Linked DNA regions of Sus scrofa. The protein of the gene in region 4 purifies or fractionates together with the protein of the main gene of each other region. This does not show direct contact. Links are inferred from orthologs where the notes say so. Each region holds a gene or a part of one and is shown on either strand. Other genes may lie near its edges. The genes, in order: BAZ1B, CBX5, HIPK2 and DAXX.

Region 1 (7,816 bases), on a different chromosome or scaffold from region 4:
ATTCTTCATCTAACTAAATTCTAACCATGCTTTAGATCACATCTTAAAAGTAACTTTCCCCAGGAAACATTCCCTTAACCCTAAAATGTGGCAGACGCACTTTCTTTGCAAATATCCACCTCCCTTCCAGAAAAAGAGTCTACCTCTCCGTCCACTGCCACGTGGCTTGCAAATGCCTCCCAGGAAAAGGACTGCATATCCCTCCCAACCATATTGGGCTTGGCCACTTGACTTGCTCCGACCAATAGATGCCATAGACACCACCTCCAGGAAGAAGCCTAAAAAGTCATCATGGGTTCCTCCAGATCTTTCTGTCTCTAGAAAAGGACACTGCAGACAGGGACTACTCCTTCAACCTGAGTCTTGGAATAAGAAAAATGTGCCTTTTTTTTTTCCCCACTCAGTTTCCTTTTTTTCAAATTTGGCCATTAGAAAAACTTTAATTACATGTGGCTCACATATTTCTATTGGACAGCACTATAAACCCACTGTTTACATCTAGGAATGAATGTCCTCTAATACAAAATTTTAAACTGACTAGTCATTCAAATTAGATTAATTTCAAAGTCAAAAACTGAAATTTCTACAACCGCTTACACTACATATTTTTAAGTTTATGTAAATCTGTCCTGGTTATTGCTTTGACTTATGGTAAGAGAAAAGCTACAGAAAAACTGAAAATGAAAGGAGAAAAAAAAGCCCACTAGAAGGACACTGAGTTAGCTGCCTCTAAATCCTATTTCAGATTTTAGGTTACCAATATAAGTCACTCACTCTCAAATAACCGCTCAGAGCAAATGCCAACTGAGCTTTTTATGTCCCAACGATTGCTGCACTTATAATTGCAGACAAAATGTCAAACCAATTCTCCAAAGGTTGTGTAAGCTATAAATGATAAGATAATTTCAAATCCTAGACTATCTCATCATGCATCTACTTTTTCAAGAGTTCAAGAACTCTCTCCTTACCACAATATGCTGCTTCTTTGTTTTCTTTAGCCTTTTAAGGATTGTTTCTTTCAATAAAGTACTTGATAGCCTGAAAGGAAGTGGCCCAGAAAAGTATGGAGGTTAAATATGCATAACTATAACCCTAAGAGTTCTAAATGGATGACAAACACCAACTCAAGGTCTGCTTTTTATCCTATTTTCTCTCTTTGGACTAGTGTGTCATTAAGTTAAAAATAACTCTAAAGCGGAATAACTTGTTACTTTAAAGAAATTAAATTATACAAGTCAACAGACAATCTTGCTCAGTATTCCAACTGTCCAATAAAATCCTGTCTTGCCTCAGCTCTTAAAAAGCTCTAGTCGGGTTTTTCTTAGGCAAATCAAGTTATTCTCGCCTAGAGCCAGAATAGCTGTATATTCTAACAGCCACTCTTTATTACACCACCTGAAAATTCTCTTACCTTGACGCTAAACTAGTTTCTATGCTTTAAAAACTAAAATAGTTAAAACAATACAACAACAACCACAAATTAATCTACAGCAGACTACACATAGGTTCAGTTCCTCCTTAAAATCCATCAACTTAAATACAGTCAGTGTGGAGTTCTACTCTCAAATAATTACATCAAGAAGTGAATCTGGTAAAGTTAACTTTTCCAGCTAAGATATGGTGTCCTGGAGTTCCCGCTGTGGTGCAGTGGGTTAAGAATTCAGCTGCAGCGGCTTGGGTCACTTCAGAGGTGTGGTTTGGATGGTTTGGATCCTTCACTCAGTGCAGTGGGTTAAGGACCCAAGGATCTGGCATTGCTGCAGCTGTGGTTCAGGTCACAGCTGTGGCTCGAATTCAAACCCTGACCCAGGAACTTCCATATGCCTTGAATGCAGCCATAAAGTAAAAAACAAAAACAAAAAAAGATCTGGTGTCTTGCCTGTAGTACTACTCTAGGAAGCAATGTACCATAGATTGAGCTACTGTACAATAAACATAATTATCAATATATAAATCTAGTTATCAAATATGTGCATCATTCACAACTACCACTGTAAGTTTAGTGACGATGTACAATAATACCTGCAAGAACACAATGCTCAGAGCTGTAAGTCAATAAAATATCATACAAATTTGCTACAGAATATATATACAATCAAGAGGAAGGTATTAGGAGAAAATTAGAGTATGAAATCCTATTAAAAACATAATTATAACTATAAATTAAGTAATAGAAATACTTCAAATGCAGCAGTTACCTAACCGCATACTTGTTCTCCTCTATGAAATCCCTAATAGCCTAATAAAGAAATATGTCAATCTGGCAACCACATAGCACAACTGCTTTAAAAACCATCCTCAAAGTGCTTCCACTAGAAGAAATTCCAAAGGGAGCAATTTCCCCCCAAATATGTAACAGTTTAAGAACTCCTTTGTAAAAAGGGTTCAGAATACTGGCATGGGAAATTTTAAAGATGAGGAATTTTTATTAAATACCTACCACTTAAAAAGTTTCACCTTTCAGTTTTCAACTGTCATCATTTAAAGAAATTCTTCATACACAGTTCAACGATTTCAGTAAATGATATGAAAAAGCCTAGGCTGCCAGTTCGAAATTAGCTATCTCGTCATTTTTTACAGAGCTCAGTGCCTATTACAGATTTAGAATTTGTCTCATAGAGTAGAGATTAATTTGCAGATTCTTATACTCCACTAGAACCAGGCCTGATAAATTAATAACCAATAACATTAGTATGAATAACCATCAGGTGCTCAAAAGCTGACATTTGAAAAGGATATGGCATAGTCCCAGAAGGAATTTTTTACTCCACTGATGTTTTGGAATGTTATTAAAAAAAAAAAAAGGTAGATCACTTTTAAAACAGGGTTGTATTTAGTAGAGCTAGAGCACTCCTCCAAAACAATCTAAAGTCCTAACAGAACAAGAAAAAGAACCAGACTATTCCTCCTACGACCCCCTTAAATGCGCTTTCTCTTATACCACAAACTGACACAAACAATGGACAAAGATTATTAAAAGTGAAGGAATAACATTTCATGTTGCTTCCTTGATTTACTTACAAGGATGAGGTACCGGCACTGGATTCTACTCCTGACTCTCATCATTCAGTGTATGACCTTAACAAGTCGGCCTCAACTGTCTGGGCCCACCTGGCCTACTCTGGCAGGAGAACCCACCATCTCCAAGATCCATTTCAGCTCTGAGATGCTACAGTTACATTTCAAGAGCCTTCCTAAAGCACAGACTCACTTTCCAAGTCCCTCTGTACTAAACACCTAACATCCACAATCTGCACTCACACAAGAGCGAGGTTACCCCGTAAAGCATCATATTAAAGAGAAGATCAAAGAGAAATGAAATCAAATGATATGGCTCACACTTGGCGCTTCCTCCTATACCGAGGCAAGCAAACTACTAAGAAATCAAGTTCTTCCAAAGGGAAGGGGGAGATAAAACTAAATAATACATTAGCCTTCACTCTTGAAGCTTTCTATTCACTAAAGAAAGCTTGATTCAGAAATCTTGTTTACACTTAAGCTTCATAAAGGATTTAGCTGGCATCCATTAAAAAAAAGTAAGAGTTGTACGACCTTCAACTACAAGACAAATAAAGCTTGTGAAAGAAATCTTAAGCAATGATTAGAAAGATGCTTCGTACTTAAAACATCAGCCTCGCGTTCCTCAAGCACAGCATAAAAACTTTAAGCGTGTCTTGGTATTTTTTTAAATATTGTTAGAAGACAAATACCTATCTGCTGTACACCGTCAAAATTCCTTATCTGTGCATACCCAGGGAAGAAAAGCATCCGCTCCTCCAAGGTAACTTTTTCCTGCTTTTTCTCTAAGTCTGGAAAATCACCAGTAAGTCCATCACCACCCTAAAGTCCACACGGGGGGAGCAAAACACAAATGCCCCTGCAGAGATTGACGTAGAACGCATCACCAAGATCACGAAGCTGCGCGAGTACAATCCCCAAAACTTAAGAAAAAAAGCAGCAGCAAAGGAAACCCAGTTTCTCCTGCTAATTAGGGCCTAAAACCAAACCCCTGGGAAATTGGTTGGAGGATCGCTCACCGACAGCGAGGCCCGTAGACAAAATGCGGGGTCCGGGAAAGGATGGAGGGCACAGGGCTCCAGAGCGGCCTGAACCCGGCCGGCCAGCCGGCCCTCCCGCCCCCGGAACTGCAGGCTCCGGGCTCAAGCTCCGGGTGCAGGCCCGCCGACGCCGGGCGCGCTGACAGCTGCCACTGGCCCGGGGCTGCGCGGCCCACCCCGCCCCACCCCACCCCGCGGGCGGCCTGGCCAGCGCGGCTGGAAAAGGATACTCCCGGGTGCGGAAGGCCTCCTGAGTGTGCGCGATGGTGAACAGCGGCTCTTCGCCTGGAAGCGGCTTCACCAGCGGGAAGGGCTTGCGGCCCAGGAGCGGCGCCATGGCGGCGGCGTCTGCGGAGGGGAAGACGTAGGCTCTCGGCGAGCCTGCGGCGCAACACTAGGCCCCGCGGCCGGGAGCAAGCGCCAGGCTCCCGGGGTGGGGTGGGGGAGGGGAGGGGTGAGAGGGCGGCGCGAACTCGGCTCCTTCAGGGCCAGCGCCGCCGCGCGAGGGCCATGGAACGGGACGCAAAGGCACAGAACTCCCACGCACACTGCCGCACCGCCCCGAAGCCTCCGGCCAACCTTCGCTACGGGTCCCAGCGTTCAGCAGTCACGACGCGTCCTCAGCTGCACCGGAGGAAATTATTGAAAAATGGCGGGAGATTCCCCTCCTCCCCCCCGCCCGGCCAGCGCACACACTAACTTGCTCCCCTGTGGCGCCGGTGGCGAATGCTCCAATAGGCTGAGAGCTGGTCAGCTCCCAGAGTCTATTGGCTCAGAGGAGCTGCCGCTCGGCCCTTGGGTCCCGCCCCCTTCCCGGGCTGCCTAGTTGGGTTGCAGCGCACTAGAGGGCAGTATGAAGAGGTGAAAGGTCAAGTTATGTAAGCGCCGGTGACAGAAGTGCGGGCCTCCAGCGGCAGGGTTGAAAGTGGGGGATAGCGGGGCACCGAAAGGCCAGGAATTCAAACAGGTCAGGCCAGAGAAGCCCTCTAACATATACAGACACTGCGCCATCTGTCACTGAAGGCGACACCGACATCCGGGCACCACTGTCCGTGCGGTGCGCCGGAGGGGGGAGGGGGAGCGCGCGGCCAGGGGCTTTGTCTTCCCACTCGTGCTCCGCCCCCTTCTTAAAGGCGCCGCTCTCAGCCACGCCCGGGGATGCGCGGGTGGGGCGGATGGGAGGAGGGGTTGGCGGGAAGTAACCCCGAGACTTTGCCCCGCAAAGGTTCGACTGAGGCATAACCTGAGGCCCAACCCTGCTCACCCCAAAGTTAACTTCTGGATGAGAGCGTGGTTGAGATGTGGATATTAATACGATGTTTCTAGTGGCTTGCTGGAAAGGATCGTATCAAAGCTTCTTTAGAAAAATACATTAAAGGATATGGCTATTAAAAATACACTCATTCATTCAAATAGTCTTTACTAGCGCCTGCCGGGTTCAGGACCCTGCGTTGGGTACCATAGGGAAAAAAATAAGACAGAGACTTCCTGAAAAAATAAGACACAAATAATCACAGTTCTCTGTAATGAGTGCTGTACAAAGTGCGCAGTAAGAAAACAGCGGTAACTACACCTAGAGAGTGAGAACAGTTAAGCTGCTTCTCCAAGCAGACTACTCCCACTTAGTTCAAAATCTGTTAGGTTACCCATACAATCAGAAACATAATTATTAATCATTCTTTGCTATTAAATTATCTCCCTTGATTCAGAAACCTTCACTGGCCCCAGAATGTACCTTCCCTGGTTGCTAGTTGTCCCTAAATGGAGGCATGCCGGTGCCAGACCCTTTTCTCCTTTTCTTCTCACCTTGAAAGTGAGGACACTCCCCAGTAAAAAGTAAGTTCTAGGTCAGACGCCTCCTCTGAAGACCTAGCAGAGAAGAGTGCTCATTCTCCTTCAGGAGCCATTTCTTTTAAGAGGATTAGGAGAAACTTTGTCAGAGGATGTGGCATTTGAGTTGATTGTAAAGGGATAAGTAGCACTTCACTAGGCAGAAAAATGAGAAACAAACATCCTAGGCAGAGGGAGCAGCAGGGCGGACTTGGTAAATTGAGGACAATGTGTCTCAAACATAGGGATTCTTTTTTTTTTTTTTTTTTGGCTGCATCCATGGCATTCAGAAATCCCCAGGCCAGGGATCGAATTTGAGCCACGGCAGTTGACAGCACTGAATCCTTAACCAATAGGCCACCGGGGAACTCCTCAGACATATGGATTTGAGGCAGAAAGTATCAAGTCAAGAGAGTGGCAAAGGAAGTCATCATCCCAGCCATAGCCTGTGAGGACTCAACTGAAGTGACTGCTTAGAAGAGAATTGCAGGCGTTCCCGTTGTGGCACAGCAGAAATGAATCCAACGAGGAACCATGAGGTTTTGGGTTCAATCCCTGGCCTCGCTCAGTGGGTTAAGGATCCCATGTTGCCGTGAGCTGTGTCATAGGTCACAGACACAGCTTGGATCCCAAGTTGCTGTGGATGTGGTGTAGGCCAGCAGCTACAGCTCTCGTTGGACCCCTAGCCTGGGAACCTCCATATGCCGCAGGTGTGGCCCTAAAAAGACAAAAAAAAAAAAAGAATTGCAGTGGTTTGTGGCAGTGATGGCAAGGGACTCAAATGTTGAACCACATCAGTACAGACAGATGCCAGACTTGAGGGGCGTAGGCAAGGTGTAGACACCACCTTTAGCCAAGTGATCCAGCTTGGCATCACTGATAGTGGGACAAGCTGACAATTTCTGCCTTGTGATGTCAGGTAATGAGAAGTATACATCACCTCCGCAGTATTCTAACCAAAAACACTCAACCTGAAACCCTTAAAAGAAAATAGACAAATTCAGGTTGTGAGGCATTCTGCAAACAACTGCCTGTACCCTTCAAAAATGTAAATGACATGAAAGATCCCTCTCCACCCACCTCGCAAATAAAGGTTCTAAAAGGAGACTAGAGAAATGCAACATGTGACCTGAGCTTAGATCCTGGTGGGGAGGGAGGGACTACTATTAAGTACATTATTGGAGCAGTTGGGGAAATTTTTTTTTTCTTGTCTTTTTTTTTTTTTTCTTCTTTTTGCCTTTTCTAGGGCCACACCCACAGCACATGGAGATTCCCAGGCTAGAGGTCAAATTGGAGCTGTAGCTGCCGGCCTACAACACAGCTGCAGCAACACCAGATCCTAGCCATGTCTGCGACCTACACCACAGCTCACAGCAACAGCCGATCCTGAACCCCCTGAGCGAGGCCAAGGATCAAACCCACAATCTCATGGTTCCTAGTCAGATTCGTTTCCACTGTGCCATGAGGGAAACCCCGGGGGAATTTGAATATGTTCACTTTAAGTAATATTATTGCGTCACTGTTAAATTTCTTGGGTATGATAATGATACTCTGGTCATGTTGGGGAATATCCTTGTTCTTAGGAGAGGCAAACTTAAATATTTAGGGCTAAAGGGCCAGAGTAACAGAACCTTTTTTTTTTTCTTCAGAACCTATTTTTAAATAATTAAGCAAAAAAAAAAAAAATGTGTTGAGCTATCGATCTAATGTGGCAAAATGTTATTAACTGGTGAATCTAGGTAAAGGATATAGCTAGATTCATTAGTCCACTCAGCTATTGTTTGAACTTCCTGTGGTTTTGAAAATTTTCAAAGTAAAAAGTTGGAGAAAAAGGAAACCCAGTTCCCTGGCTATTCCCTGCACATTCTCCCAGGCTTCACGAACCTGCCCTGACTAGTCTTTCCTCATGTGCAGACACAATTTCCAAG
Region 2 (7,171 bases), on a different chromosome or scaffold from region 4:
TAACTCTCCTCATCATGTGGCCTTTTATTTATTTATTTTTTGGCTTTTGCTCTTTAGGGCCACACCCGAGGCATATGGAAGTTCCCAGGCTAGGGGTCCAATCGGAGCTACAGCTGCCAGCCTACGCCACAGCCACGGTATCCAGGCAATGCAGTACACGAGCCGCGTCTGTGACCTACACCATGGCTCACGGCAACACCGGATCCTCAACCCACTGAGCGAGGCCAGGGATCAAACCCTCAACCTCTTGGTTACTAGTCAGATTCGTTTCTGCCCAGCCAGTAGGGGAATTCCTGCGTGACCTTTTAAACACTCATCCTTTTGGTCAGAACTGTGGATTAGAACAGTAAGAAAGTAGAAATTTCGGTCAGCAACAGTCCTTATAAAACAGAGTGAGGACGAATGTAAAATCTAGTCACTAAAATAAAATGTAGGCATTAAATGCAAATTTCAATTACAATATGAAAAAGAAATCCAGTAAGTTCCTTAACCAGAAATCCAAATCAAGAAAGAAAAAATTTTTAAATTAAAATCCCACCGAGATGTGAGCAAAGACAGCTAACCTCTTTCCTAGGAAACAGAGATGCTGAATTCATAGAGGTAAGCATTATGGATGAGAAGGGGGGTGGGGAGGGAAACACATCGCTAAGAGCAGCTACCCAAATTTGGACTGTGGTGGAAAAAGCTAGTTAACATGTGAATGTAAATCATAAGTACCACATATGGCTGAGTGGGAAAAGCAGTCAATACAGCTCCTTATGCAGACAGAGTATAGTGATTCTTCAAATACAGACTTCTGGGTAATTTACCAACAAAATTTCGATCAGATAAAATATTAAACCTCTTGACTATACAACTTCTAAGGTAATTAGCTTCCTTAGTGGCACTGTAGCATGAACTCTCTATTTAGAGACCAAACTTAAATTACAAGCCCAGAACACTTGGAAATAGAGAGGTAGTGAGGGCCACACTATAAATCACTCTGTCTTTAAGAAACCAAATTGAGGGGAAGTAACTATACTTTCCTCTAAGATCCATTCCCTCTACCGGATGAAATAATTTGTGCTTTGGCCAGTATTATTCTTAATGCTTTTTGTTGAGATTACTCTTCTCTTTTAGACATTATTGAGTGGTCTTGGTCCTCAGTGATGGCAGAAAGCCTCACTCAATTCCTATTCCATGGCCACAGGCTCGTGGTCTGATGGTAAATGATTCACAACTGTGTAAATTAAATGGTTAGGTCATGTTTATATGTTTCCTACCTCAAATCTACACATTAGTATGTGTGCTAATATATTATAATTTGGCTTAATACTAAAGCTTTCAAATGTCTTAAATCCATTCTGAACTATAATTCCCATTTAATACTGACAGTTGGTATCAGCTAAAAATTTAGCTCCCTGACGATCAAAATTCTTAATCAAAATTACTCAGTCTTCTCTCCCTATCTTCCGTACAAATTCAAGTCACTGGCAAAGAAACACAATTGCAGAGTGAGGCCCAATCTCTCTCACCATTTCATTAGGAACATTAAATCGCCACAGGAATCTGTCGCCCCAATGATCTTTTCTGGTTCCAATCCTCTCTCAAAGCCCCGAGCGATATCATTGCTCTGCTATAAATAGAAGATGAAGAAAGGTTACAGCTTGGAGATAACAGTCAAAAAACCTTCCCGTTTCTCAGCTCAACAAAGCACAACCTAAGTTAATATCACTAGATATCACTTTTGTCACCAATTCATAAAATTCTTAGGATCTAAATACAATACTGCATCAGCCAGTGACAGAGATATTTCTACAGGAAGTTGCAGCTGTCCTTCCAGTATTCCTTCAAAGGATTTGGAGTGGCCCCTAAAACTATTTAATATCCTTTAAAATATTCTGGAGTCATCATATAGAAAATCCTCTATCCCCTCATTTAATCTTGTTATTATAAATGGACTACTGCTAAATTGTTCCTTCTGGGTTGATAAACAAGTCCACAGGGGTTACCTGAAAGAAACCCTTTTTCATTTTATAAACTTCAAATATAAAACCTCTTAATCTTTATTTTTTTAGACTTTTAGTTCACCTAACACTGACCAATATTTTTAATACTTCTTTTCCCAGAGTCATCTATGCTTATGGAAGAACAGAGATAAGGATAATTCAAGGCATTATCATAAAACAGAAAATTTCTTTTCAGAGCTCACATACTGTAACACCCACACATTTGGGGAAGAGGCCCTGGTCTATGTCTATCCCTTCCTGAAGGGGATAGATCAATTGCATTAGAGAGCAGAACTGGGGACTTTCCTGGTAGTCTAGTGGTTAGGACGCACGCTTTCACTGCTGCAGCCCAGGTTCAATCTCTGGTCTGGGAATTGAGATCCCACATTAAGCTGCTGCTTGCTGCAGCCAAAAAAAGCCCCCCGAAAAAAACAAAAATAAAAAAAGAGAGCAGAACTAGACTGATAATTCTGTAAGGAATTATTCAGACTTGGTCAAACGATAATCACGCAGTCCAGACAAGGAGCATTAGAGTCTGATTCAGGTGTGCTGCCACTTGTGAGAGCAAAATGGTGAAATTTTATACAAACCAGGTAATTAAAAAAAACCTTTTTATGGAAGATAATGCAAGCTTATTTAGTGTCAATACAAAAAAAGATTTAGAAAGACTGCCCAATTGAACTAAATCTCTGATATCTGATTTTCATAATAAAATCTCTTTGCTCTGATATTCGCCTTGCTTTCTTCTGAGATACAAAGCATTCAGCGTCCAGGTGGTCCCCAAAGATACCAGAATCCAACATTGGGAAGGAAATTCCACGCATGGATCAGGGGACATACAGACTTAAAAACATAGCCTCTTTTGGGGGTGCTTAAAAGGAGGAGGTTCCCAGATGTGCACACAGCTGCTCACAGCTGGAATGCTGGCGCACGAACTGAGTCGTAAATCATAGCTGGCGGCTGAAAACAGTTTGCCACATAGGGAGGGAAGGAAAGAAAAATGTTCGAGATGCTGAAAAGGAGCCGAGGCGAGGAAAATGCTAAAATCATCACACAGGCAGTAATCTTAAATCAGGCATAATGCCGACTAACAAATTTCTTCTGCAGTGGTCTAAAGAAAGAAACGCAATCCCCTCCTGCACCCTTAAAACACACAATCACCCATCTTCCCAGCTGCCTACCTGACAGCCGCCAGCACTGCTGAGAATGCTGTCAAGGGGCCCCAGATGAACATTACAATGTAAGGGACATGTGGGGGTGGTTTTCAAGGTCAGCAGCATCAGAACCTGGCCTAGGAATGAAACTCTCTACACTGGCCAGTGGCTCAAAGTCAGATTGCTCATTTTTAAAAGGAGAGAAACTGTAAGTTGAGGAAATACAAACTATATGTCACAAATGGCTATACAGGTCTTATGCTGTGTTGTTTTTCAGTCTCTTTACTTAGCTAGAAAATGAATCAAATGACAAAACCAAAATACAAAGGACTAATAAAAAAAAAGAAAGAATCAAATCTTAGCTCCTTAGAGAAGAGAAGGCATTCTCAAATTATTTATCAGTACACTATATCAAATGTTATACACACCTCATCAGAACAGGGCAGTTTTAAAAATAAGATTGTAAAAAATAAAATTAATCATGGAAACAAATAAGGAGACAGACAAAAACCTAGAATCCACTTTCACTGGGAGCCTCCAATCTTTCACTCTTATTTCCATTCTTTTTGGAAAGCTGGTCTCCCATTTTCTCTCCTCTGGAGGTCAGGAATCACTTGTGCAAGTCTCTATAAAACACTGATGACAATGTCCAATCCACGGAAATTTGAACTTAATTAGTCTGGGGTGTTATCTTGGGCAGTGGAGTTTTTTGAAGCATTGTCCCCTAACCTCCTGTGGTGATTCTAATGTGCAGCCAGGGCTCAGAACTGATGCTCTAGAAACATGGGTATCCAAGGAAAACGAAGATAAATAGGGATGTTTATGGCAGTGACACTACAAGATTCAGAAGCAGACTTATGCTTTTATTTTATTAAACTTTAAGGGTATGATACATCTTTCACCACAAAAGGCTTCACAGCCTTGAAATAAATGAAAGCAGTAGAAGCTGGGGAGGTGGGTTATCTGTATATGTGTGTACAGATGGAAAAGATATAAATGAAAAAAGAAGAGAGGCAATAATAGTGCTTATGGCTAGTTACTTGAGAGCTAAAGATCAGAAGGATCAAAGCAACTGAATTAAACCAAAATTTCATAAACATACTTTCCAAACTGAACAATAAAAACATCCAAAAGGAAAATGAAAACTAATTTCTTATTTAATGTAAAAACATAGTAGGATCAGAAGGGAATATACATGCCACTGAACTGTACACTTCAAAATGGTAAACTATATGTTCTGTGGATTTCACCTTAATTTTAAAAGACAGAGAATTATAAAGGGTTGAAAATAAGTGTTAATTTTGGCACGAAAGAAAAAAGTGAAATGGTAAGACATTTTAAAGTTCCTTTCTATCCTTACAAAATTCACCAAAGACTCTAAGATAACTCTGCCTGTATTCATGAATAAGGCAGAGTATGAGATGTTTTCCAAGGATTTCATTTTCCCACCTTAACCCCAATTTAGAGGACTCATATTATGTTCCTCACTCAGTCAGGAGGGGGCGCTGTAGTCAATCAACATATCTCCCTGGACGCTCTATTGTTCAACAATTTACCTTGTAGCCATCCAGAGAAGGGAAACAACCAAAATAATGCCCTTTTTGGGGGGAAGGGGGAGCCACAGTGGCAGAAGAAATAGGTTGTTGAGGAAAAAGGAAAATAAAGCTTACCTCTCTCTTTTTTTTGGATTTGATATCATCAGCACTGTTGGAGAAATTGGATTTCCTCTTGTTACTTTCTGACTTCTCCCTCGGTTTGTTATTTTCACCCTCCTTCATCTTCTTATACTTTTTCATGAACTCAGAAATTAGCTCAGGGCAATCCAAATTTTTCTCAGGTTCCCAAGTATTGTGCTCCCTGGGCAAGAAGAATGGAGAAAAAAAGCAAAGAAATAAGGGGGGGGGAATCCAATGCCTTATTTAAAGAAGACAAGTAGGCAAGAAAAGAAGCGCTATTCTTTTTCTTTTTTCTTTTGTTTTTATAGGGCTGCACCTGCGGCATACGGAGGTTCCCAGGCTAGGGGGTTAAATCAAGAGTTGTAGCTGCTGGCCTGTGCCACAGCAGAATCCAAGCTGCGTCTGTGACCTACACCACAGATCAGGGCAACGCCAGATCCTTAACCCACTGAGGCCAGGGATGGCACCCATGTCCTCATGGATACTAGGTGGGTTTGTTATCACTGGGCCACAAAGGGAACTCCAGAAGCTCTTTTTTATTTTTTTGCTTTTTAGGGCTGCACCCATGGCACAGGGAGGTTCCCAGGCTAGGGGTCAAATTGGAGCTGCAGTTGCCAGCCTGCACCACAGCCACAGCAGCTCGGGATCTGAGCCACGTTTGCAACCTACACCATAGCTCTCGGCAACACCGATTCCTTAACCCACTGAACAAGGCCAGGGATCGAACCTGCATCCTCATGGATACTAGTCAGATTCATTTCTGCTGAGCTACAACGGGAACTCCAATAAATGAATTTTATGGTATATAAACTATGTCTCAATAAAGCTATTAAAAACTCAAACATTGGGAGTTCCCATTGTGGCTCAGCAGGTTAAGAACCGGACACAGTGTTCATGAGCATGCAGGTTCAATCCCTGGCCTCGCTCAGTGGGTTAAGGATATGGCGTTGCTGCAAGCTGTGGTGCAGGTTGCGGATGTGGCTCCAATTTGACCCCTAGCCTAGGAACTTCTATATGCTGCAGGTGCAGCCATAAAAAGGAAAAACAAAAACAAAAACTCAAATATGAGTTCTGCTCTGTAAGTGGCAAAATAATGTGATTTCATACATATAATCGTCTATGCAAATCCTGGAGAGGAAAATCTAATACGTTGTCCAGTTTATATTATCCTAAATATGTGACTTATATTTTGAAGAAATGTCAACAAATTATTAGAAGATCGAAAATACTTAGAAAAAAAGCAATATGGGCTTAAAGCATTACAATGTAGGCATACCATTAGAAGGAAAAGATTCAAAACTGGAATTTTGACTGCATTAGTTCAAAGCTCTGGATTCAAGCCTATCGTCTCTAGGTAGTCCAAATACATTTTAGACTGATAAGCACAAAAAAATACAAACTCAATAATTATATCTAACTAAACTTGGATCAAGGGAATTGTACTATGAGGAAAACAGAACTAGCTATGTTAAGACACTTTGTAAAGATATCATAGAAGCAGTTTCTATAATCCCTTCAATGACTTAAGAATTTTTTTTTTCACATTTATGCACTATATATTTTAGTTATTTTATTGGGTTTTTTTGTCTCTTTAGGGCCACACTTGTGGCATATGGAGGTTCCCAGGCTAGGGGTCTAATTGGAGCTATAGCTGTCGGCCTATGCCAGAGCCACAGCAACGCTAGATCTGAGCCATGTGTGTGACCTACACCTCAGCTCACAGCAATGCCAGATCCTTAACCCACTGAGTGAGGCCAGGGATTGAACCCACAACCTCATGGTTCCTAGTCAGATTCATTTCTGTTGCGCCACGATGGGAACACCTGGTTTTGTTTTTTTAAATAAGGTATCTTTAGATAGAAATGGTTCGAACAAACGCCATAAAAACTCAACTCAAATAAGAAGCAGAATAGAAAAATCTGAGATATTTACTCTAGACTTCAACTTTCTGCAAAAAGAGCTTCAGAATGAGACAAAATTTATTTCCAAACTGGAAAAGCCTCTCCCTCATAGCTCTTCTTTCGGTAAAAAAAAAATCTTCCTCATACAATAACTTTCCCCCCAAATCCACAAACTATATAGTTTACTATCCCAGAAGAAATTAAGGTGCCAAAATCAAGAGGCATGCCAACACTGCAGCACAATAAGCAAGCAGATGTGGAGGTAGGAGAGTCTCTGGTTCAAGCAAGGAAAGCCAGTCCTCTAAATGAGATTATCCCTTTTCCCACCATATTTGTATCTTGCTGTGTCTACATTAACCACTTTTCACCCAAAAGACATCACGGTATAATTTAAAAAGAATCTGGGCTTTAACACCAAAGAAATCTGATGCTGGATCTTTGTTTCAGCATTT
Region 3 (7,171 bases), on a different chromosome or scaffold from region 4:
GTTGTTCCTGAGGAGAGACCGCCTGTCTGTGTCCCTGAGGTGGCTTCCAGAGGCCCTGGGACCTTCTGGGGTGGTGGCCCGTGTGAGGCCCACAGGGCCCAGGCGATTCAGGTGCTGCCCTGCGGGCCACCTGGGAGTTGGGGGCCGAGGTCGAGCTCACAGCGGTGTCTCCAGGGCCTTTGCAGCTCGGGGCCATGGGCCAGCCTGCCCAGTGGGGGCCGGGGGAGTCGCCCTGAAATGCTCTTTCTCAGGCACATGTTTGAGCAGAAATCCTGATGAGAAGCAAAGAACCTGTAAGGCAAACAGAGTAGCTCGCCCAGGAGGCAGGACCGCTTAGAGCAGCGGTCCTTGCTTTTCTGCTCCCATGTCCCTTACATCATTGTCTAAAACTAAATCCATCCCGCTTCTTTAAATATTTGCAAGGATGTGATTCTTTTCCTGTGGTATATTGTATCATTACTTAAAACACTTGAAATATGTTTATCAAAGCCTTGGAGGAGTTCCCATTGTAGCTCAGTGGATTCCGAACGGACTAGTATCCATGAGGACATGGGTTCGATCCCTGGCCTCGCTCAGCCGGTTAAGGATCCGGTGTTGCCATGAGCTGTGGTGTAAGTTGCAGGCATGGCTCGGATCCTGAGTTGCTGTGGCTGTGGTGTAGGCCGGCAGCTGTAGCTCTGATTCAACGCCTAGCCTGGGAGCTTCCATATGCCGTGGGTATGGCCCTAAAAAGACAAAAAAAAAAAAAAAAAAAAAAAAAAAAAGGCACTGAGAGGCAGGCGAGCCATAGCACTTGACTCCACCAGTCCTGTGCCCACGCGTGCCGTCCCCTGCCTTTGCGCCTTCGAGCCTCGAGTTCCACTCTGCGGGGAGTTGGTGTTCACACATCACCTGGCACTGAAATGAACTAAGATGGTTCCTTGTCCTGTTTGTTTTATTGCGGTGGTTTTTCCTCCAGACTCGGGGGGCCCCTTTTTGGACACTCAGTCATCTGTATCCTGCTGCATCTGGGCCTGCACCTCTGTGTCCGGGCACATGCCCGCAGCTGCACCTGGACGAGACACAGGAGCTGCGAGCACTCTGCTCCCTCCCTGACTCCCCTTACAATTTTCAGATTTTCAGCGTCACAGGGTAGTCATTCTTCATTCTTCACTCTTCTTTTTTTTTTTTTTTTTAACTTTTTAGGCCCGCAGCATAAGGAGGTTCCCAGGCTAGGGGTCCAGTCAGATCTGTACCTGCCAGCCTACACCACAGCCACAGCAACGTGGGATCTGAGCCTCATCTGCGACCTACACCACAGCTCACGGCAACGCCAGATCCCTGATCCACCGAGCGAGGCCAGGGATCGAACCTGCGTCCTCATGCATACTAGTCAGATTCGTAACCTGCTGAGCCACAACAGGAAGTCAGTACCAGGTAGTCATTCTCAAGTCCAGCGAAATTTGCTCCCAACCAGTGGAAGGAGCCGCAGCCCCAGGCCAGCCCTGGGTCTCGGAGAGACGCAGGAGTGGTGGCCAGCAGCCTTGGGAATGCCTTCTAGGGAGACCACGGCTGTCCCCCGAAGGGTAGGGGGTTCTGGGCAGCTGAGGACCTGTGACTGACCTGTGACCCTTTGCCCTTCCCAACACAGTCAACACCAGTCACCACTCGTCCTCCTACAAGTCCAAGTCCTCCAGCAACGTGACCTCCACCAGCGGTCACTCTTCAGGGAGCTCGTCGGGAGCCGTCGCCTACCGGCAGCAGCGGCCGGGGCCACACTTCCAGCAGCAGCAGCCTCTCAACCTCAGCCAGGTAAGGCCGCCGTGGCCGGCCCAGCATGGGTGTGCCCCTCACCCTCAGCTGCGGAGCGGACCCCTGCCCGCCTCCCGCGGCCATGGCCCCTCCAGTGGTGGCAGGAGGTGCCCCAAGCGCCCCCTCATGTTCTGCTGGGATCTTCTTGGGGGAGGTGGCACCCCGACTCACTGAGTGCCAGCCCAAAGCAAACTGACTTGTCCGCTGTTCGGAAGCCCTGAGCGACAGGGTGCCAAAGCTTAAAGTAGACAGGCCCGCAGTTTGCTGCGTGAACCCGACAAAGGATAAAGTACCGCCCCGACCCAGTCGGGTCAGAACACCAGGGATGGGCCTCAGTCTTGAGCAGGCAGGCCCCACCGAGTCCTTGTGAGGGCTCCTCCTGCCCGGAACCCCAAACCCAGAAAAAGACAGAGGCTGGCGGGGCGTCGTGGGGTGTCAACAAGGGCGCTGCTGGGCCCGTGTGCAGAGGGTCCCTCGGGGCTGCACTGCAAGGTGGACTGGAGGCCGGATTCCTCAGAGCTCGGGGCTGAGATGTGGGGCAGTTTGGGTGGAGCAGCCCCTGGGCTGTAACCCGAGGCCTTGTCCGTCCATGTCAGCGTGACTTAGGCTCTGCGGGAGGGACGGAGGGAGGGTTGCCTCGTTTGTGGGTCTGACTTGAAACAGCCAGGTTTCTGAGAGCCTGCGACTTAGGGAGCAGAGCTTCACGGGGAGAGAGAAGCAGCAGGCTCTCCAAGAGGAGCTCCTTTTGACACTTCACAGCGGCCAGGTGGCCTTGGGTGACCGTGGGGTGTCTCCCGTTCCCGTAGCTGCTGGCTCTGTCTGTTCCCAGCCTGGGAACAGCTGGGCATGGCCTGCCTTCTCCAGCCCAGGCCGGTTGGTGCGCTCCCAGCCCAGGAGGGAGCGTCTTCTGTTACTCTCCCCCCTCCTCCTTCGCTCCCTCCTCCCCCCTCCCTCCTCCCCTTCTCGCCCTCCCCCTCCTCCCCCTTCCCAGCCTGTCCCCCCCTCCTCCCCTTCACTCCTCCCCTCCTTCCTCCTCCCTCCCTTCCCTTTCTCCACTTTTCCCTCCCTTCTCCTCCCTCTCCCTCCTCTTCTCTCCTCATTTCTCCCTCCTTCTTACTCCCTCTTCTCCTCTTCCTCTCTTCCTCCCATCCCTCCTCCCCCTTCACTTCCTCCCTTCTTTCTTCCCCACCCCCCACGTCTCCATCTCCCCTCCTCCCCCTCCTCCCCACTCCCTCCTCCTCCTTTTCTTTCCTCCCCCTCCTGCCCCTCCCCCACCTCCCTCCTCTCCCTCCTGCCCTCTCCATATCTCCCTCCTTCTCCCCTTTCTCCTCCCTCTCCTGTCCCTCCTCCTTCCTCCTCGTCTTCCCTCCCCTCCCCGCTTCCTCCTCCCCCGCCTCCTCCCCCGCTCTCCAGCGCATCGAGCCCCCAGCACAACCTCTCCTGGTGCCTCTCCTTCTCCAGGCTCAGCAGCACATCACCGCAGACCGCGCCGGGAGCCACCGACGGCAGCAGGCCTACGTCACTCCCACGATGGCCCAGGCCCCATACTCCTTCCCGCACAACAGCCCCAGCCACGGCGCTGTGCACCCGCACCTGGCCGCTGCCCACCTCCCCACCCAGCCCCACCTCTACACCTACACGGCACCCGCGGCCCTGGGCTCCACCGGCACCGTGGCCCACCTGGTGGCTTCCCAAGGCTCCGCGCGTCACACCGTGCAGCACACTGCCTACCCAGCCAGCATCGTCCACCAGGTCCCCGTGAGCATGGGCCCCCGGGTCCTGCCCTCGCCCACCATCCACCCGAGTCAGTATCCAGCCCAGTTTGCCCACCAGACCTACATCAGCGCCTCTCCAGCCTCCACCGTCTACACTGGATACCCACTGAGCCCCGCCAAGGTCAACCAGTACCCTTACATCTAAACACTGGAGGGGGGATGGCCGCAGGGGAGGAGGGAGAGGAGGAGGGACCGAGGGGGGAGCTGGTCCTTCTATACTGAAGACGCCGCACATGAACAATGCAAACGGGCCGGGCTGGGCAGGGGGCAGGGGGCAGGGACGGGACGCAAACGAAACTTGAACTAGGAAGTGGGAGGACTGAGCGTGGAGAAGAGAACATTTTAAGAAGGAAGGGATTTAAGGAGGGGGGGAAATCTATGCTTTTTATTTTAAAAAAGAAAAAAAAAGAAAACGTCAGTACAAAAAAAAAAAAAAAACACCACAGCTCACGAACCCATTGTGCACCAAACTGGAAAGGAGAAGAATAGAGCGACGGAAGATTCCAGAAGTGAGGGGGGTGGCCTCAGCTTTTGAAGAACTTGATGAACTTCTCAAAGATTATTTTCACATGGCAGCAAGTGACGCTTACGAATTTGCTGTCAGGGACACCTGATATGGAAATCCAATAGATTTTTAATGCGTGAACGTAAGAATTAGGGATTTTTCCAGAACTCTTTAAAGGGTCAGCAGCCGTCTGGAAAGGTCCAGCCATGGCCTGAGGAGGCATATTCGGGGGCTGGCCTGGGGTTGGCGAAGCCCGGTTCTGGCTCACCTGCCAGGACGGACTGGGGGGGTGGCGGCGGTGGCGGCCGGGGGGAGGAGGACCGGAGAGGGTCCAGTGTTTCCATTTCAGTCTCTTTCTGAGCATTCTGGATAAATCCCTAAAGCAGTGATATTCCGCCAATGTCATTAATAGTGTGTGTTGCAAACTCCAAGGTCGGTTTTCTTCTCCGAAGATTTCTTTTCTCTTCCACTCCGTCCCTCGTCCCGTTAGCGCAGGGTCGAGGCCTCGGCCGAGCCCTCGGAGATGTAGCAGCCTGCACCCGTGTGTCGTCCTTTGTGTTCACCCCCGACGATACCAATAGACTTTGCCTCAGTGCAATTGCACAACAAGAACGTGATCTGACGTGGGCGTGTGCGCACGTGGCGCGCCCTCCTGCCCCGGCCCGGCCGCCAGCTCTCGCTGTCTTGGTTTCACATCTGTCCCTCCTAGTGCCTTACCGACCGTCGGACGCGGCGTGAGGGTTTACTTCCGCGGTCCTCCGCGAAGCCGGCCGAGGCGAGCCCCGCCACCTCAGCCCTTCTTCTGTGCTGTTGTACCATTTTCCTCTGGTCTGGCCTTTCCTTCTTTTGGTTTGGTTTGGTTTTGGCTTTTTAAGTTTCTCTTTTATCTGAACCCCCGTTGTCTTTCCCGGGCTGTTTGCTAGCAGAGGGGTGTCGGGAAGCTGGCAGGGGCCAGGAGGAGCCCCGGGATCTGGAGAGAGAGGTGGGGGGCCCTGACGGTGGTAATGGCTTTAGATGACCTCGGAGACGCCGCAGGAGAGACTCCCCACGCGGCACCCCCACCCCATTCTGCCACAGGGGCCCAGCCCTGCCATGTGCGGGCCTAGAGGGCCCATCTCTGTTTCAGGAACGTTGGCCTTGCCAGGCAGCTGCCTCCTTCCTCATGCAGAAGGGGCAGAGGACAGGAGCCCGCCTTCCGACTCCAGGCCCAGGGCTCCCTTCCCGTGGCTGCCTGCAGGGTGGTGAGGGGGCCTGGGGCCCAGCCCCACGTTCTCAGACGCACCTCTGCTTCGCTCTCTCAGCGCTGCCTGCCTCCCTCTCACCTCTGGTTCCACCGGCTGTGCTTTGCTCTCACGGTTTTGCCAGATCCTTCCCTCTCTGGACAACCAGGAACCGGTGTTTGCTGCTGAATGTGTCCTCCAGTTCCCCGGGCCTGCCAAGGCCCACTTCGGCTCTTGGTTTCCGGGGGCCTGATGAGCAAAAGGCTGGAAGGACACTTAGGAGGGTGACGGGCAGTCAACGTTTTCCAAGGATATGTGCCCTTTGTCCTCTTTGCACCTTCAATACATTCTGGAAATGTCAGACTTTGCACACTGGTGGGGGTGGGGTGGAGAGGGCTCTACCTACAGCAAATTATTCCTGAACACATGCACGTCGGGAGGCTCCATCTGGTCAGAGATAGGATGTTCAAAGTGTGGTCCTAGTGGTTTTTTTGTTTTTTGCTGCCGAGTCCTTAACTGACCCCAAAGCCAAGTTTCCAAGGTGCAAAGAGATCACTCCCGTTTCAGTCTGCGGCCCCCACTTTCCCTCCTCCCTGTACAGGCCCCCTCAAGGATCTACTGTGAAAGGTGTTTTGTACCACGATGTCTGACCTAACTCAGTAACGAAACCCAGCCCTTACCTTAGCTCTTAGCTGTGAAATATGAAGTAACTCTGGAAATGTCCCCTCTCCTCCCGTAAATTCTGCTTCGCCTACACAGCAATCGGTCCCCAGCTTGAAACCAGCTTAGGCCGGAAGGAAGGAAGGACACCACCACCCACTCGGGAGGGGCACCCCCGGGCCGAGCCCGTGGTACCCAGCGGGTGGACAAGGTGCTCCGCTCGCCTCGGGGGAGCAGGGGCCGAGACCCATACCAGATCATCCAGGCGCGAGGACGTGCTGTCATTCTGAGACAACAGGAAAGCGGCCCCTCCGAGCGAGGGGCGGGGGGAGAAAAGTCTTTGAAGGATGCGCTAGACAGGGCCTTCCCAGAGCCAGCCCGCCGGGGGGCTCATCTCTGTTCTGGACTTTGGGCATCCAGAGGGCAGCAGTGCCCCGTCGGATCTCCCCTCGCCCGGTGACCCGGGTACAGACGTCTCCGCTGCCCACGAGCCAGCATTTTTGCCTTATTGGGTAGCATCCTGAGCCCCCCTGTGTGGTTCCCTTCGAGCCGGTTTCTAGATCTTATCTCTTGCCAGCAGAGACAACACAGCCTTCCCTTTTAAGAGAATGATTTCGTCGCCTCAGCTGGAGATGATGCGCTCGCCTGACATCATCTTGCCCTTTCTTCCAGATCAGGAATGAAAGTTCCATGCTGCTCATAAAGAGAATATGATTTGTATGGATTGTCTTGGTTATTAGCATTGTAATGACTCTCATAATCCTCATTTTGGTATTTTAGTTGGGATTTTAAATGCCCATGGTGTTCCAGGTATCTTTGTGTTTTCTCTTGACTATTTAAGTTTATTTTGTTCTATCTGTGAGTATCTGAGTAGACAGGCGGGACATCCCGATGTCCGGTTTTGTCAGACCAAAAAAAAGAAAAGAAAAGAAAATGATCCAGGAATTAGGAAAAGGCTCTCGAGAAAGATACACCACAAAACAAGGTTTGAAGAAGAATCAGGGCCTTTATCTCTTCACAGGCCAAAAGGCCACGTTGGGCTCTGGCGACACGGGCCCCATCCACACTGTGTTCTCCTAGGTGCTCAGTGGCCTGGGAGGAGACCTGAGAAGATGGGCTCGGGGGTCCCTGGCTGAACCTTGAGCCGCGGGTCCGTCCCACGTTCCCTGCGCTTCTGCAATCTGACAACTAGATCCTGGGCCTGCCTGAAATCTGCTATT
Region 4 (7,628 bases):
GTATTGAAAACCACCGCTCTCTCCATTTCCCTTTAGGCTAAGACCCCTGGATCTTTTGCCGGCCACGCCCCTTGCCCCCAGTTATCGCTAACCACGCCCGTTTTCGACCACGCCCACCATAGACCCGCCCCCACGGCCTTTTGGCTCCGCCCCCTGTGTACCCCCGCCCACATCGGACTCCGCCCCCCTCTGCTCCGCCCCAAGCGCTACAACGATCTCCTCTCCCACCCGGAAGGCGCCCCCCAACCCCGCGCGTCCCCGCTTACCGGGCCGCGCGCCCCCGGGCCCCCCGCCCCTCACTCGGCGGCCAGAGCCGCAGCCCGGGCCCCTCCCGCCGCCATCTTGCGCCGACTCCCTCCGCCCTCCGCCTCCGCTTCGCCTCCCGCCTCTCCGGCTTTAAAGGCACAAGCCGGCACCCCGCCCGAGCCGCTGGGCAATACTCGGCCGACTCGGCCACTTCTCCTTTAACGAACCACGGCCTCATTCCATCTTAAAGGTACCGGGTCTCTTCCGCCGCTGGGGGCTCAGGACACGGTTCGGCCGAGGCTCTCCTTCCCCTTTAATTCCGTAAGCCTGCCTCTTCCCAGTGGCAAGGAGTCCAGGCCCTCGCCGCCTGGCCCCGCCCCTGTGCTGTGGTCATTAGCGGGACTGTGGGATCTCCTCGCAGTGGCCTCCTAGCTTGACAGTCCCCCAAGCCCCGCCCCACACAGGCCTGGATTGGCCGACTCACTCCGAGTCGGCCCCCTGATTGGCCGCCCCGAGTGGGAAAGTAAAGTCCGCCTCGAGTCGGGCGGAGGGCGCGGGGTCCATCCGTCCCAGGCCTGAGACTAGACAGCCGCCAGGGCAAGACAAGGAAGACATGGGTACCATAAGAAAAGAACTTTATTGTTTATTAATGTTTCTGTGTAAAACTTAAGCTTTGTGTTTTTAAAAGAAACCACCAAACGGGGACCAGCTCAGTGCCTCCTGCCTCCATCCTCTGTCCCGAGCGCAGTGGAGCAGGGAGCGCGGGGGCAGCTAGTCGGAGTCCGAGAGCACGATGATCTCCTCGGGGTCGCACTGCGTGGCCACACTCATCTGCGGGGAGCGAGACGGTCAGCACGGCCCGGGGCGGAGGGGAGGGCTGCGGTGGGCGCGCCAGGAACCGAGTCGGGGGACAGCTTCCCCTCTCACCTTACAGGTACTGGGTCTGGAGGGCTGGGCCTGGGGGTTCTGGGCCAACCGGGCTGGACATGGGCTAGAGAGGGAGCTGGTCACCAGGCCGTGGCTGGGAGAGTCCACCCTGGTCGAGGAGTCAGCAACCGGAGCCACGGAGGCCAAGGGGGAAGGGGGGCTGGGCAGGGCCCGCGTCCTCTTCCCCTCCTTCTCTCGCACTGCCCTTGGCCTTGCCACGCAGCTGAGGACAGAAACGTATGGTGTGGAGGCTTAGGGCAGCCTGAGGCTGCGAGGCAGCGTCCACTTCTCCCAGCAGCCTGGGCTCCGCAACAGTGCCCTCAGAAAGCCCCCCGCAGGCCCTCCTTGGCTTCCCTCTTGCTCCTCCTTGTGCAGTTACCTGTTTCCTAATGGCCCTGTTTCTCTTGGCTTCTCCCTCCGAGATTTCTTGCAGGGGGGAATGCAGTCCCCCCAGGTGTGTGGAGAGACACCGCCATTGAAGGAAGTGGAGGTGACCATGGCTGCTCCGTTCTCCAGGACAGTGGTGAGGGGCTCCTCGGATGGCTTCCTGGAAGACGACACATCCCTCTCCTCAGGGGACGGGGTAGTATCCAGGGGCAAGGCTTCAATCTCTAGCTCAAAGAGCTGAGACGCAGGGCTCTCCTCCTCCAGGGGCAACTCCTCAAGACGCTCGCCACTGCTTTCAGCATCAATGCTGGAGGGGGCCGGGGGCTCTTCTGACAGTGAAGATGGCGACACCCCAAGTGCTTTGCTTCGCTGCTCCCCTGAAGACCTGCTGATCCCTTTGCCAGGCTCCATGTTCTTCTCAGTGGAGATCTGTAGTGGGGACATGGGGCTCTTATCTCCATCCTTATCTGGAAAAGAAAAGAGGAGAGGATAGAGTAAGAACTAGGGGAAGAGAAGTGCTGAGAGGATGGGAAGGATCTCAGATGATGGGGCTGGTGCCCAACAGTCGAGGGAGCTGACACACGAGAAGACTGTCTTCCTGACATACCTGCTTCCTCCTCCTCCTCCTCCTCCTCCTCTTCATCGTCCCCCTGACCTTCCTGCATCTGTTCCAGATCCTCCTCCTCTTCTTCGGAATCTGTGGCCTCCTCGTCTTCCTCCTCATCCTCCTCCTCTTCTTCCTCGTCCTCCTCCTCCTCCTCATCACTTTCCTCATCTTCCTCATCATCTGTCTCAGCCTTGGAAGTGGTCGAGCACTCCTGGGAGGCCATCCCACTAGGGCCCTTCGGGGGACAAAGGAGTTTCTCTAAGGAATCCCTTGCCCCCTTGAGGGACTGGTTCTTGCATCCCTTCTGCACACTCCGCCATCAGTCCCAAGGACTCCCTCCTGGCCAGTGCAGGGGAAGGACAGGGTCTCTCTCAAGGGTGTGGCCCTTCCATACCTCGCCAGAATCCAAGGAGGCTTTGGGGGGTTCTGCAGAGTGGGCAGAGGTGGCCTGGGGGAGCCGAGCCCTTCTCTTCTGTCTCTCGCCCTCCTCACTCTTGTCTTGCATCATTGCATATTTGGAGATGACCTCATCCAGTCGGCTCATAGCCAAGCTCCGGTTCTCCCGCAGGCGCCGGGCTAGGACAGGATCTGACAGGGCAGGATCGACACCTGCATGGGAAGACATAGGTCAGAGCACTCACCCAGAATCCTAGAAGGAGGGACTCCAGAGAGCTTCCTCCAGCATAGGCCAACACACCAAGGGACTGGGGAGACCCTGCTAAGGCCTACCTGGCCTGTAGTCGTCTGTGAGGTGACAGCCGAAGTTGTAGATGAGATCGAGGTGGCGACGTTCCTGCAACCTGATGCCCACATCTCGGAAGGCATCCTGAGCCATGAGCTGGAGCTGCTGTCGGGGGAGGCCAAGGCTGTGCCGAGCAGCTGCCTTCTCGACAGCCCGAAGTACGTCTCCATAGTCAGGGAAGGTATCAGGCCCTGGCTTGTTGATGAGCCGCTCGATGCGCCTGTTCACCTCCGGGTAGCGGGTGCCCCGGTAGGGGATGCGCTGCTCTATGACCCGGCCCGTCAGAGAAGAGCATTCTTTGAGCTCACACAGCCGCCCAAAGAGGCGGATCAGCTTACGCTTCAGTCTGGCCTCCTGCAGGTAAGTGGAGTCCGGGTCGTCCAGTTCTGAGAGATCCAGCTCCTTTTCCTGCAGCCGCCGGATCTCTGCCACATAGAGCGCAAGAAGCTGCTCCAAGCGCTGGATCTGCCGCCGGGAACCACGGGTCCTTGGGGCCTCAGAGGCAGTGGTCTCAGCATTTATGGGGTCCGAGGAGGGGCCTGTGGGGGGGTCATTCCCGGAGGGCTCACTAGAGGTGGTGGCAGCAGGGGCCAGGTTCATCTTCTTCTTGGCCGAGTTGGCCTTGAGAACAGTGCAGAGCTCGTTAATGTAGACATAGAGCTTGGCGGGCCGGCTCTGAGCCCGGGAAAGGACCCGAGAGAGGATGTTGTGGAACTCCGCCGAGGCCAAAAACAGTGAGTGGGCCCGCTGCTGCCGGCTAGAGAGGAACGGGACCACCTCAGGGTGGTCTGCTGTCTGCCTCCTACACAGTTCAAGGAACTGGAAGGTTCACGGGGAAAGGGACAAGGGATGGGTTGAGAGAAAGAAGGCGAGGTGGGGTTAGTGGGGAAGACAAGACAAGAGAGCCAGTCGGCCAGCCCCCTCCCTGGAGTACAAGAATCCTCTCCCCTAAAGCTCACCTCTTTAAACAGCTTCTCATTCTCCAACTTGTAGCATTTCTTGCCGCCCGAACTACTGCCTCCTCCAGCCCCATGGGGCTGGGAGGAGCCAGGGGCTTCTGCCCTGGGTGAGGCTGGAATGGGGGCTGCCCTGGGTGAGGCTGGGTTGGGGGGTGGGTGGGAGGGCCCTGGCTGAGCAGCTGCTTCATCTTCGTCATCATCATCCAGCACGATGATGCTGTTAGCGGTGGCCATGGGGGATCAAATCCCCCGGAGGGAGGAAGTGGTGGGGTTTTCGTGATTCCTGCTGGAAGGGGACGGGGCCTCAGAAAGAGCCCCTCCAGCAGAGCCCCATCCCTTCATCTCACACATTTTTGTCTTCTTGGTTTTCAAAAACACCCAGCCATGCCCAACAGTGTCCTCACTGCCTGTCTTCAGCAACCATTAGTACCGTGTTTTTCTGTCCCTTTACTACGAGAGCCCCAAACCCTCGGAAAACCTGAAGTCCCACCCCCAGCTCCACCCCTCACGTCGACATCCGGTCTTTCGGTTGCATTTCCCCACTATTTCTCATAGGTGGCAAGTTGATTCTTCTCAACCCCGGACCACCTCTCACACTGCACTCCAGATTTCCTCGACACCCCCTGGAACAGATACCACACCCTCGTTGGCACCACCTCCCCGTGTCCCCCTTCCGCTCTCCCACAGGTTCGCCCCGTCCTGTAGGATCACCCCAACTCCCAGCCTCTCCGAGGCGAGGGTTGGTCCTCCCCACATCCACTCCCCTTTCTCCTGCCAAGACCACCTCCCTACCCCGCCCTCCGGTGGGTCTCCTCCAGCCGGGGCGGCAGTCGGAGATAGCTCGGCTCCAGTCCCCTCTCTCTCACACCAACCCGAGCCTCCCCATTCTCTCCGTGTGACCTGTAAGCGACCGTGGGCCCCACACTGGTCTCTCCTGCTTGCTCTCACACTCTAGTCCTGAGGCCGGCCCTGCCCCCGGAGGAGCTTCCCGCCAAGTCCCCCTCCCCCAGTTCAGCCCCCGGCCCCCCCACACCCCTTCAGGGATAGTAAGGAAGGTACCTCAGCCTGCCCCTCAGACTCAACGCCCAGGACTCCCGAGTACCTCGACCTCGACATTCCCGCCCCGCCTTCGCCCCCCGCACCGCCCGGCCCCACCTCAGAAACGGTCTCTCGAGGCGACACTCGCCGCGGATCTCAGAACCTCGCATGGTTCCCTCCGCCTTCCTTCCCCCTCCCACCGCAGGCCCTACTCCGGACCGGAAGCGGCGGAGTTTCCGCCTACAGGCTCCTGGGTGCGGCCATGTTGCCGTACGGATCCCAGTCTCCCCAGTGGCCGGAAGTGACAGTAGGCCCGCCTCCTCGAGCACCTCCAGTGCCGCCCACATAGTCTGAGGCGCCTTTCTCCCTGACCTGCAGGGGGCGGATTTGCGCCCCTCCATCCCCCATTCGGGGCCTCTCAAGGTACATGCGGGCCGCCATTTTCCCGTACGGCGTTGGCTACGCCCCGAGTGGGGGCGCGCCGCCAGTGAAGCTCTTTTCACCCGGTGCTTCTGCGACTCGGCCAATCAGAAGCTTCCCGCAGCCGGCCAACCGCCAGCGCGTCGCGTGCGGGGAGGACAGAGCCACCTTCCCAAGGGGGGGGGGGGGGGTACGGAACAGAGCAGCAAAGGAATTGAGCCCTCCGAGGCTGCACAGGGATGCACGGAATGGGGGGAGCCTCTTGAGAGGAAAATAAAACCTTTTCCATCCGCGGCGCTATTGACAAGCCCTCTGGCGCCGATTTCCTACCTGCCAGGTACCAGTTTCCCTGGCTTAATCGACTGTACCTGCCATTCCCTTCTATGGGCCCGCTCTCCTTTTCGCTGTCCAGCTGCTACTTCTACCGACAGGTGCCTACTTCGCCCAATTGCGAAGTCCTAACACGGGATACAAATGAGCACCACGAGCTGTACAAATGTGTTTTATTATTATTGTTATTGTTGCTGGTTTGCTTTCCACTACAGAACTATTGGCCAACCAAGTAGGTAGAATCTAGGTGGTTCTACGACGTCTTTTCTGGAGGAGGTCCCCGAGGCGGAGGCGATGATGGCCGGGAGGCCGGGCTTTGTCCAGAAGCTCCAGGGCCTGAGGACGGGCGTTGTGAGGAGGAGGAGGCTCTGAGGAGAATCTGCAGATTGCCGCTGTATGGACTGTGAGACGAAATGAGGCTCGTAAAAGGCCTCGGAGTCTCGTCTTTTCTTCTGGAAGTGCTGATGAAAGAACAAAAAGAGAAGAAACCAACTTTGACGCCCGCCTCGCCTGGACCCCCACCTAGCCCAGCTTTAGGGAAGCTGGAGGGACTCACGGAAGCAAAGCTGGGTCCAAAGGTGAACTTCTGGGGAAACCAAAAAGTTAACACCGGTCCAGTCGCTGAGTTTCCCACCTCTTGGATCCCTGCATACTCCACAAATGTTGGGCATCTTGCCACTTTATTTTCTTGTTGCACATTTAAAGATAAATTTTATTAAAATATAGCAGAAGAGTTTCCGTAGTGGCTCAGTGGTTAACAGACCCCACTAGTCCCCATGAGGTTCAATCCCTGGCCCCGCTCAGTGGGTTAAGGATCCGGCGTTGCCGTGAGCGGTGGTGTAGGTCGCAGATGCCACTGGGATCTGGTGTTGCTATGGCTCTGGTGTAGGCTGGAAGCCGAAACTCCAATTAGGCCCCTAGGCTGGGAACCTCCTTAAGTCCGGGGTGCGGTCCTAAAAAAGCAAAAAAAAAAAAACAAAAAAAAAACCAAAACCTGAGGAAACGTCAGGTGACTGGCCCAAGGTCACGCTCACACAGCTTTCTCCTTTTTTTTTTTTTTCGGTCTTTTTGCCTTTTTTCTAGGGCCTCTCCTGCGGCATATGTAGGGTCCAGTCAGCTGTAGCCACCGGCCCATGCCAGAGCCACAGCACCACCGGATCCGAGCTGTGTCTGCGACCTACACCACAGCTCACGGCAATGCCGGGTCCTTAACCCACTGAGCAAGGCCAGGGATCGAACCTGCAACCTCATGGTTCCTAGTTGGACTCGTTAACCACTGCGCCACGACGGGAACTCCAGCTTTCTCCTTTTTTCATCTTTTTTTTTTTTTTTGATCTTTTGGCTTTTTAGGACCCCACAAGTGGTATATGGAAGTTCCTAGGCTAGGTGTCTAAGGTGTCTAATTGGAGCTGTAGCTGCAGGCTTGCACCACAGCCACACAGCAACGCCAGATCTGAGCCGCTTCTGCAACCTACACCACAGCTCACGGCAATGCCGGATCCTTAACCCACTGAGCAAGGCCAGGGACTGAACCCACAAACTCACGGTTCCTAGTCGGATTCGTTTCCGCTGCACCACAAAGGGAACCCCCCCAACTTTCTCCTTAAAAAAAAAAAAAAATGCAAGAATAGTTCTCAACCATGAAAGCTCCTGGGGATAATCTTACCTTGTCTTAAATAAAGAAGAGACATGTAGCCTGTTTCTTTCATCAATGTATCATAAATATCATTTGTCTCATTTTTTTATTTTGATTTTTGGCCTTGCCCGCAGCATGCATACATTCGAAGGGGCAAGGATCAAATCTGCACCACAGTATCGACCCAAGCCACAACAGTGACAATGCCAGATCCTTAAACCACTAAGCCTCCAGGCAGTTCCTGCTTATCTCATTTTAAATGTAATTCTTTTTTGTCTTTCTGTCTTTTCTAGGGCCGCACCTGTGGCATGTGGAGGTTCCCAGGCTAGGGGTCTA

Evidence for each region.
Region 1: the proteins of DAXX (region 4) and BAZ1B purify together in Homo sapiens (co-immunoprecipitation; 3 studies listed by BioGRID and IntAct, with this or other methods). This does not show direct contact. The link is inferred for Sus scrofa from reciprocal best matches to the Homo sapiens genes DAXX and BAZ1B.
Region 2: the proteins of DAXX (region 4) and CBX5 purify together in Homo sapiens (affinity purification with mass spectrometry; 3 studies listed by BioGRID and IntAct, with this or other methods). This does not show direct contact. The link is inferred for Sus scrofa from reciprocal best matches to the Homo sapiens genes DAXX and CBX5.
Region 3: the proteins of DAXX (region 4) and HIPK2 purify together in Homo sapiens (affinity purification with western blotting; 3 studies listed by BioGRID). This does not show direct contact. The link is inferred for Sus scrofa from reciprocal best matches to the Homo sapiens genes DAXX and HIPK2.

Annotation. Positions count from the first base shown.
Region 1 is NC_010445.4:10,839,143-10,846,958, forward strand, and holds the start of BAZ1B (tyrosine-protein kinase BAZ1B), read right to left. Parts: upstream 4,777-7,816; 5' UTR 4,638-4,776; exon of another isoform or gene 4,407-4,637; 5' UTR 4,396-4,406; coding exon 4,289-4,395; intron 1-4,288. UniProt on the Homo sapiens protein: Atypical tyrosine-protein kinase that plays a central role in chromatin remodeling and acts as a transcription regulator. Involved in DNA damage response by phosphorylating 'Tyr-142' of histone H2AX (H2AXY142ph).
Region 2 is NC_010447.5:19,454,973-19,462,143, forward strand, and holds part of CBX5 (chromobox protein homolog 5), read right to left. Parts: intron 5,000-7,171; coding exon 4,813-4,999; intron 1,616-4,812; coding exon 1,515-1,615; intron 1-1,514. UniProt on the Homo sapiens protein: Component of heterochromatin that recognizes and binds histone H3 tails methylated at 'Lys-9' (H3K9me), leading to epigenetic repression. In contrast, it is excluded from chromatin when 'Tyr-41' of histone H3 is phosphorylated (H3Y41ph).
Region 3 is NC_010460.4:10,131,080-10,138,250, forward strand, and holds part of HIPK2 (homeodomain-interacting protein kinase 2), read left to right. Parts: intron 1-1,630; coding exon 1,631-1,791; intron 1,792-3,252; coding exon 3,253-3,711; 3' UTR 3,712-7,171.
Region 4 is NC_010449.5:29,675,990-29,683,617, forward strand, and holds DAXX (death domain-associated protein 6), read right to left. Parts: upstream 5,157-7,628; 5' UTR 5,024-5,156; intron 4,953-5,023; exon of another isoform or gene 4,928-4,952; intron 4,492-4,927; exon of another isoform or gene 4,155-4,491; 5' UTR 4,103-4,154; coding exon 3,869-4,102; intron 3,729-3,868; coding exon 2,897-3,728; intron 2,777-2,896; coding exon 2,562-2,776; intron 2,403-2,561; coding exon 2,168-2,402; intron 2,028-2,167; coding exon 1,553-2,027; intron 1,397-1,552; coding exon 1,174-1,396; intron 1,078-1,173; coding exon 1,018-1,077; 3' UTR 865-1,017; downstream 1-864. UniProt on the Homo sapiens protein: Transcription corepressor known to repress transcriptional potential of several sumoylated transcription factors. Down-regulates basal and activated transcription.